2 linked regions of the Rattus norvegicus genome follow. The protein of the gene in region 2 purifies or fractionates together with the protein of the main gene of each other region. This does not show direct contact. Links are inferred from orthologs where the notes say so. Each region holds a gene or a part of one and is shown on either strand. Other genes may lie near its edges.

Region 1 (4,486 bases), on a different chromosome or scaffold from region 2:
GGTGGGTCAGCCTGGCCTGACCTCAGGCACAATCTTACACCCAATCCTCCCTGTCTTCAGGTTAGATACACTGTTTGTCCTGTGTGGGCATTTTAGAAATATCCTGTGTCTCCAAGGTTGGGATCTGTCCTTATTTTCTTTGGATGAGAGAGGAAGAGAATATAGATATACTCGTCCGTTCCCAAGCTCTTAGAGCAGCTGAGAAGGTGATACAAACTTGAGGCACGGGAGGTGGTCTGCAGAGTATCTGAGAGACAGGAGGGTTTGTGAGTGTCTAGAGCTAGAGCAAGCATGCCAGTTTGGTGGTTGGAAGATGGTGACTGAGTCCCCAGGAGGACTTAGCAGCCTTCCCTCCTTATAAAACCAAATCTAAACCAAGTCTTGGGATGGGATTTCAAAGAGAATGACTAATTTAAGGAGAGAGCAGGAAAGAGAGAGAGAGAGAGAGAGAGAGAGAGAGAGAGAGAGAGAGAGAGAGAGCTCTCGGGCTCCAATATGAGGGTCTGAAACTTCAACATTTCTAAGACAATTTCTCCCAGTATCTAGATTTAGGGGCACGTCCTTGATTCTAAAAATCTGTAGCCAGGGATTATCGTCACATCATTTTGCACGAGAGATAAGATGGATGAGAGACCAAGTGAGGGCTGCAGGAAGAATAGAGATGCAGACAAGTAAAGTTCCCTAGGCTGGGGTTTCCCCTTCCTCCTTCACTCTTTATCAGCAAGTTTAGGGACTACTAATTTCTTTCTCCAGGGCCCCAGTCTCAGTCAAGACTGCAGTCAGGATGGCTGAGCTGTCTTGGGCGTAAGGATGTAAGGACGGCTTGCCAGAAGCAAGTGGCCTAGAGGAGCAGCCAGAGGGAGAAGCTGGGCTCACATACCCCTGGCATTTCCTTCTGGGTCTTCTATGCAGACGGATCTGGTTTGCCCTCCTCTAAGCTCGAGAATTGGGTTGAAGTCGTGATAGGATAAACCTAAGCTTAAAAGGGGGAGACAGACCTCATAAACAGTAAATGATTTTCCAAACCTGCGAAGGAGAGTGCTTCTTCTTTCCTTGTTTCTAAAATGAAGCAGAGAAGCGGACCCGTCCGTTCCTGAGCACCCCCCCCCACCTTACCAGCACAAAATTCTAGAAACAGACTTTCCCCCTTCATTCTCTCTCAACGAGATTCGAGGGCATTTACCCAGCTCTCCCTTGAGGGAACGGGCCCATGCCACGCAGGGGTTAACTTTTCTGAAAACACAATTAACTTTTCCCTATTCCTGCGTGGGGTGGGGGGAGGGTGTATTTATTTCATCACTGGGAAATGGGATGATCTCCATCTAACTGTTTCCTCCTCCCTCAAAAGCACAGACGTCTCTTTCGCAGATCCTACGTAGGTGGATCAGGGCGCGTTGTGGAGAGAGAGAGAGAGAGAGAGAGAGAGAGAGAGAGAGAGAGAGAGAGAGAGAGAGAGAGAGAGAGAGGAGGGGGAAAAGGTTGATAGGTTTGTGCGCGGGTCCCTCGTGCAGGCTGCGCTCCTCCTGGGTGCTATTTGACAATTCCTGCCTCTGCCATTGGTCAGTGTTGGATCAGATGGTTGTATTTCCTTCTGGCCCTCACTGGCACCTCGCCATCCCCCCTCAGCTAAAACCCAATCTCGGCTATACTACTAATAGGCGCGGCGCTCGGACTATAAAACACAACAAATCATAAACCCGGCGGAGCAGCAGCGGCCGCGCGCGCCTCCCCTCCCGATGAGTTCCTATTTCGTGAACTCCACCTTCCCCGTCACTCTGGCCAGCGGGCAGGAGTCCTTCCTGGGCCAGCTGCCGCTCTACTCGTCTGGCTATGCGGACCCGCTGCGGCACTATCCCGCGCCTTACGGGCCGGGACCCGGCCAGGACAAGGGCTTTGCGGCGTCCTCCTATTACCCACCAGCCGGCGGCGGCTATGGTCGGGCGGCGCCCTGTGACTATGGGCCGGCGCCTGCCTTCTACCGGGAGAAGGACGCGGCCTGCGCCCTCTCCGGCGCCGACGAGCCGCCCCCGTTCCACCCCGAGCCGCGCAAGTCCGACTGCGCACAGGACAAGAGCGTGTTCGGAGAGACCGAGGAGCAGAAGTGCTCCACGCCCGTCTACCCGTGGATGCAGCGCATGAATTCGTGCAACAGTGAGTGTGACTTCCCGCTGTCCCACGCAGGGGGGAGGGAGGTGCGGTGCAAACAGAAAGGCAAAACTAGCGAGTGTCAGCATCCTCTCACCCCAACTCTCCTACTGGGAACTAGATGGGCATCTCAGCAAATAGGGCAAGATTGGGCCCTGGCCTCCAGATCAGTCCTCCTGCCCGCAGAAGTTGCAAAGTTTGCAAAGTCCCAGCTGCACAGTAAGGCAGGGGGAGTAAGTGGGCTCTCTGAGAGAGGAGAGAGTCAGGCTAGGATTATTGATCAGGAAGAGGACAGGGGACTCAGTCTCTGATTTTGCTTTCCTCTATATTCTCCGGATATATTCCCTCTCTTGTCCGGATCTGCGGGGGGGGGGGTGTCCCGCACCCAAAGACCACTCCATTAAAAACAAGAGTGCGTCATGAAAGGGGAGGGGTAGCATGACGCCTGCAAGGGCGAGTTTACAGGGTCCTGGATTGTGTTTCCCTTGGGCTGGGGGAGGGGAACTGGGGACGGGGGTACTAGGGAGCTGTGAGACACTACCACAGGGGTAGTATAGTCTGAGGAAGGAAGAATGAGAAGGGACAGGCGGAGGGAGTGAGAAGAACAAACTGGCGCCTGGGTCTCACGTTGGTTTATTTGTTGGCTTCAAGTCCCAATTGATGTCCATTAGCACGACACGAAAGTGAGGAGCTGTTAATGCGGACTATGAATCGATCCGTGTCATTATGGATTAAGGGCCAGAATCTATCATCGAGTAGGGCAGGGAGAGCTGGATGAATGGAAAGAAGGGAAAGAAAAGATACAGCTCGTAGGAGACTCACCTGGCCAGCCCCTCCCCCAAGCTCAGGTGGGAGTCAAACTGCCCCTCCCCTCCCCCACCGAAAGTCTAGACAGAAAGAAAGCACAGCACAGGCCTCGGAGTCCAGGAGGGAATCTGGAGGGGGCGCTGGAGGAGTGGGAAACGGGGATCAGGGAATGGGAGGGGGAAAAGACAACTCCCGACCGGCTAGCTTTACGTTTGAGGGCCCAGTGGGGGAGGGGCTATGGGTTTGGTGTGGTGACCCCAGGCCTCAGTTTCTCCTCTCTGCGTAACAGGTTCCTCTTTTGGGCCCAGCGGTCGGCGAGGCCGCCAGACCTACACCCGCTACCAGACCCTGGAGCTGGAGAAGGAATTTCACTACAATCGCTACCTGACCCGCCGGCGGCGCATAGAGATCGCGCACGCCCTGTGCCTGACCGAGCGGCAGATCAAGATCTGGTTTCAGAACCGGCGCATGAAGTGGAAAAAGGAGAGCAAACTGCTCAGTGCGTCTCAGCTCAGTGCGGAGGAGGAGGAAGAAAAGCCGGCCGAGTGAAGGTGCTGCCAAGGGAGGGGGGACGCGAAGGGAGAGGTCTGAGGGGGAACCTAGGGCACCCGAAAGCCCCAGAAGGCTCTGCGGTCGGGGGACTTGCTGTCCAGCGCAAGACGGGCGGGGCCCAGCGCTTTCCTGGATGCCCCCCTCCTGCAGAGCTCTTCCTGGGCGCTTGAAGGATGCCCACCCCAGCACCCCAGCGCCTCCTCCCTCCCCGAAGAACCCACCTTGGCCTCAGCAGGCTCTCTGGTGAGAACTGAGAATCGGACTCACTTGATGTCTCCTGGAAGCAGAGCAGAATGCTCTTGTCCTTGTCGAGTCTCATTTCCTTCATGTCCCCCGTGCACGGTTCAATGGTAGATTCGCTGTCCCCTCAGCAGGGACCTGAAAGACTCCCTGACCCCAGACTTGTCTCTCCTACCCCCTCCCCAAAGCCACTGGAAGGAGCACATACTACCTAGAAGTAAGAAGAGGAGCCTCAGAAGAAAACAAAGTTCTATTTTATTAATTTTCTATGTGTTGTGTTTGTAGTCTTGTCTTAGCTCTGGACGTGAAATACTTCGGTAATAATATTAATATTATTAATAATGATTATGATGATGATGATGATAATAAAGATGTGAAAACCCGCAGCTCAATCACATCCAATCCTTCCCTGTCATTTTTCCCCCTCCATAGCCCCCAGCCACCCTGTCACCCCTGAGCCTGAACAGCAAAGGCAAGAACCATGGTCTGCCCCAGGGCCTCAATTCGGAAGTTACAGTTGAGATAAAAGTGAGGAGTCAAAAGCAGAGGCCAGCGATCGGTCCTCCCAGGCCCCAGCGTTGGTCGGGCCTCTCTGATGCTAAATTCACAATTGCCTCTCCCACTCAGAGGTGCGAGATGGAGAAAGCCTTTTTCCTCTTGTTCTCTAAGCTTGCCTTGGTTGTGAGACTCTGGAGGGATTCCACTTGAGGCCTCCTTGCCCAGAGCTCTGGAGAGACCGAGC
Region 2 (4,599 bases):
TGAAGTTAAACTTCTGAAGACATGTCAGGACAGTGAAAGAGAAAAGAAACTGTGGCACAACCCGCCCACCCACCTGGCTTAAGTGGAGCAGACAGCACCCTGAGCTCACCCCCCACTCCCTCAGAGCATGGGGCCAGTGCGGAAGGAAACCACTTCTTTCTACCCTGCCCATTTCTCATACATACTCAAGGGCTCAGTCTTCTTACGTGTATTTCACCCAACACTGACAAACCTACTGCTTTACCCGTGCAGATGACAGTGCAAAGCACAGTAAGGACCAACATTGTCTTAGTTGGTCAAAGTCAAAACAGCAATATTTATTTCAAATGAAAAACTCAGACCTACAAAATTAACATTCCTACAGGTTTCAAACCATCTACAACTTAAGGAATTATTAGGCCATAGACAAAACTACCTAGGTAGGTGCAGTTTGTAGCAGAATACTTCTTTTAAGTATGACACTAAGTGTATGACTTTGTTCCAAACCAGAGCTTAATGTTAGAAAACTTAAAACCTTGCTACTGGTGTTTTCCTCACAGCTGCTAAACATCAAGTCCAGCACCAGTTTTTGAAATAGGTCAGAAGGGAGACAAAATGAACCATTCACTTTCAAAATGTACAGCTCTCACTGGGTCTCTAAAAACCTTGATGTCTACTTTTGCAGCTATCAGACACAACTAGTTTTCTTTAAACCTTGCTGTCCTTAGTTTTAAAATAAAGAGCCTAAGCTGCAGGAGGAAAATCCTTCCCACTTCTGAGAATTATAAAACTGGTTAATACTAAGCATCAAAACAGAAGAGGACTCCATCACATCTTTCTCATCACTGTTTCAATATTAAAGTTTTATTTTCTCTTTTTGTTTGTTTAATGGTGTCTAGGGCCTTAGGCCTGCTAGACACTAAGCCTTGTCTCCATTGCTTATAATGAAGCCCAAGCAACACGCTGCCCCCAAACAATAAATAAGCAAGCACAAACTACCCATACAAATTCACCACAGCAGAAATAACAGAAGGGATAAACTTTGGGGTATGCAGTCCTACTCAGAACTTTTTCTATGTAGCTTCATCTAATCTAGGTTTAAAACACTTTTTTTGTCTTATTGCTAACAGGTGAGCCTCAAGTCCCTTTCCAAGGACTCTACTTAAACAGAACCTGGAAAGGAAGAAGAAAAGAAAATTAACTCAAAAGCAGACTTTTTCCGGGCTCTAGGTTTAGGAAAGGAAGTAAGTGGCAAGCAGTACTTGTGGATAATTCACTTAAGTCTTCTCTCCCAGAACAAAGTTTTAATCAACTTTTACAACTTCTTTCCTCTGCTGCCCCAAATTATTATTTCCTCCATCTTAGGGTGTTTAAAGCTTCCATTTCCTAGTATTGACAGGAGGGTTCCTTCTAAAAGAGCTAACAACTGGTAGGTCGTAGTTGGCTATCAGTATGGTTCATTAATCTTTTGGGTTAAAAGGAATAAGGTCCTACAACGCCGCCTGTCTGTAGACCCAGGAAAAACTATAAAGAGTTATGAAACCAGATCACTAGGACATAGGCCTCCCTGTCCCAATCACAATCAAACCTGGGTGCAAAGCAGACGCTTCTTCCCTACTTACTTGACAATAAATAAGTAAGGTTAACTAATTAATTAAATAAAAGAGGGACCTGGCTTGATTATTAAGGGAGAACCTGATGAAGCACTACATACACGCGTAGAGCACCAAACAAGAATTTTTATGTACTAAGCCATTTGTAAACGCATACGTATGGATGTAAGATCGGCTCATCCAAAATCTTTCATAAATCGAGTAAGTGATGATCACTTCAGCCACAAGCTGAAAGAAAGAAAGAAAGAAGGGAAGAAAGAGAGAGAGAGAGAGAGAGAGAGAGAGAGAGAGAGAGAGAAAAGCCCTGCAGCGAAAACAGTATGGAAAAGTACAGCTTCTCACGTGTCTCTCCCAGATACAAATACTTAGCTCCGAGTCCATTACAATCTTACCAGCCCTCCAGAATCGCTCTCCGCCGCCACCTTACACTGACAGAAAACTACCAACCTCGCAGTGGGTCCCCCAGAGACTCTCCTACCTATTATCTTACCCCTCCCGCTTTAGCTCCGCCCCCGCCCCGGGAATGAGGTGGCTGTACTGGCCCCGGAGAGACCACCCTCCTGCCCCAAAGTGCCACCCGGGAATCTAACCAATCCCTCCGCCCTGAACCCTGTGAAGAAGCATCCTAGGCTAACAAGCTCCTCAGCAACTCCGTGCACTCTCTGGTCCTCCCACCCCCACGTGTCAGCTACCCTCCCCCACATTCCCACACCTCACGACTCCAGGCCGAGCAAAGAAAGGGGGCAGGCGAAAGCCTGGTCCCCAAGGCAGATCTTAAGCCCCCGAGGGCTCCGTCCCACCGCAAGTCCCCTCCCACCTTAGGCCCTTCACGGTCCCTTCCGCCCTCCTCGAGGTGAAACCAGGCCCTTGCCTCAGAAACCTCCTCTTCCTCGTCGTCGTCGTCCTCCTCTTCCTCGCTGTTGTTGCTGCTGGTGCCGCCGCCGCCTCCTCCTCCGCCGCCGCCGCTGTTGTCGCTGTCGCTGCTGCTTTCGCTGCTGCTGGGGGGTCGGCAAGTCCGGTTCCGCTTGGCCTTGTGGTGCGGCTGCTGCGGTGGCTTCTTCTTCAGGAGCAGGTCGCAGACTCGCACCATCCCACGAGGAGACGAGGCCGAGCGAGCCCCGCCGCCGACCTCCGCCGCCGCGGGGGGGGCCGCCACTGCCGCCGCCGCCGGGGGGCTCCCTTCTCCCTCAGCCGCCGCCGGAACCGTCGCCTTCTCCATCCCCGCGGGAAGAGGGGGGGACGCGGACGGGGGAGGGGCGTGGGGGCTCCGCTCTACCGCGACTTCGGCCGCGCCGGGGCCGACACAGCGCTCCGGGCCGCCGCCGCCGCCGCCACCGCCTCGGTCACCTCTACTGCCGCCGCCGCCGCCGCTCCGCCAGCTCTCACCTCGTCTCGCGATACTAAGGGCGGGGAGCTTGGCGATGGGAGGGAGAGAGGGAGGGAGTGAGGGAGCGGGAGGGCGAGGGGGGGCGAGGCGGAGCGCGAACGCCGTGCCCGGGAAAGCGGAGCAGGCGTCCGGAAGGAGCCGCTGGGGAAGTGCGCCTAGAATGGCTTCCCTGGGGAAACCGAGTCTGAGCGGGGACCGCAAGCAGGGGCCGCGGGAGGGCGGGCGGGCGAGCAAGCGAACGAGCGAGTGCCTGGATGGCTTGTCTTCTCCGCGTTACTTCCCCCACACACAGCCCTGCAGCCCTCCCTCCTTCCTTCCTGGCTTCTGATTAGAACGCAGCCGCAGGCGGAAGCGCGAGTGACGCCATCAGCCGGCGCCCCGGCGGCCGCGCGAGGATCTCTGCCTGCTTCTCCAAAGTGCAGACTCCAGGGCCGCGGAGTAGGGTCCCCCACGAGCGTGCGGGGGTGCAGGGAAGCGGGGGCAGTGGGATGGAGAGCAGCGGGCCGGGGCTGAGTGGGAGGCGAGCGCGGAAGCGTGGGGCAGCTGTGCGAGCAGGAGGCCTGGCCTCCAGATCCGGGAGGTGGGGCCTCGCCCCGGACCTCCTGGACGGACTTTCCTGCCTGGCCATTTTCTCCACCGCCTAAGCCAGAGGGCTTTGGATCTCCGGAGAGAAACTTCGTGAAAGGAGAGAGAGAGACTCCTGCCAGGTCCAAAAGAAAACTGTTTCCCCTCAACCGTACCTTGGAGCGATTCTGTCCTCACTTGATAAAACTCTTGCCAGAGTTGTCTCGGACTGCCTAAACCTGACTTTTACACCTTTGTAATATGCAGGAATTGAGTAGTGAAGTTTAAGACCATACGGTTCCGAAGAGGTGGATGGGGGAGCGGTGCCAGCATTGTATGCATTTCTGGGTCTGGGTTCTGAGATCATTTTAAGTACCTGGAGAACTTGCAGACAGATTGAAATGTAGCTTTCTTCTTGAAACAGTGTAGCTCAGGCTAGCCTTGAACTGGCGATTTTCCTGAGATGATATTAGGTCTGCACACCACCACGTCATGTTTATGTAGCTTATTGAACTCAGAATTAGCCACTTCTGGTCTAGTACGAGTAGTGGCATAAGGAAAATAAAGCAAACATCAAAGACAGATGTACTGGCACAAGATAAAAAAGTGCCTCAACTGACAGAGTTGCCATTTTAAGACTTCTAAGTTTAGCTGAGTGCCTGATTTTTTTTTATTTTTTGCATTTTCTTTTTAGTACTGGCATACCATATGAAATGTGGGCAGTTGCCAGTACGCTACAGAGTACCACAGAAGAATTGGTGATGACTAAATCAATTCATTCAAGCAAAAATTCATTATGTGCCTACTGTGTGTGTGATCTATGAAATCAGAGTCTGTGTTCCCAGGGGCTTCTCTGTGTACTGTGTGCAATAGCAAATATACAAAGTGCCTGCCTTTTTGCTGAGTTCCGCTATACAACATTGTACAGAACACTGTATTATGTATCTTGGTTCCAGTGGGATCTTGGCCATTTTCTATATTCCTCAGCACCTTTGTGTCACTTTCCACCTGAATACCTTTTGCAATCTTTGAATGCCAGCCCCATTTCATTATGAC

Evidence for each region.
Region 1: the proteins of Ankrd17 (region 2) and Hoxb6 purify together in Homo sapiens (co-immunoprecipitation; 3 studies listed by BioGRID and IntAct, with this or other methods). This does not show direct contact. The link is inferred for Rattus norvegicus from reciprocal best matches to the Homo sapiens genes ANKRD17 and HOXB6.

Annotation. Positions count from the first base shown.
Region 1 is NC_086028.1:81,759,859-81,764,344, forward strand, and holds Hoxb6 (homeobox protein Hox-B6), read left to right. Parts: upstream 1-1,612; 5' UTR 1,613-1,736; coding exon 1,737-2,151; intron 2,152-3,241; coding exon 3,242-3,501; 3' UTR 3,502-4,139; downstream 4,140-4,486. UniProt on the Homo sapiens protein: Sequence-specific transcription factor which is part of a developmental regulatory system that provides cells with specific positional identities on the anterior-posterior axis.
Region 2 is NC_086032.1:18,007,206-18,011,804, reverse strand, and holds the start of Ankrd17 (ankyrin repeat domain-containing protein 17), read right to left. Parts: upstream 2,947-4,599; 5' UTR 2,812-2,946; coding exon 2,464-2,811; intron 1-2,463.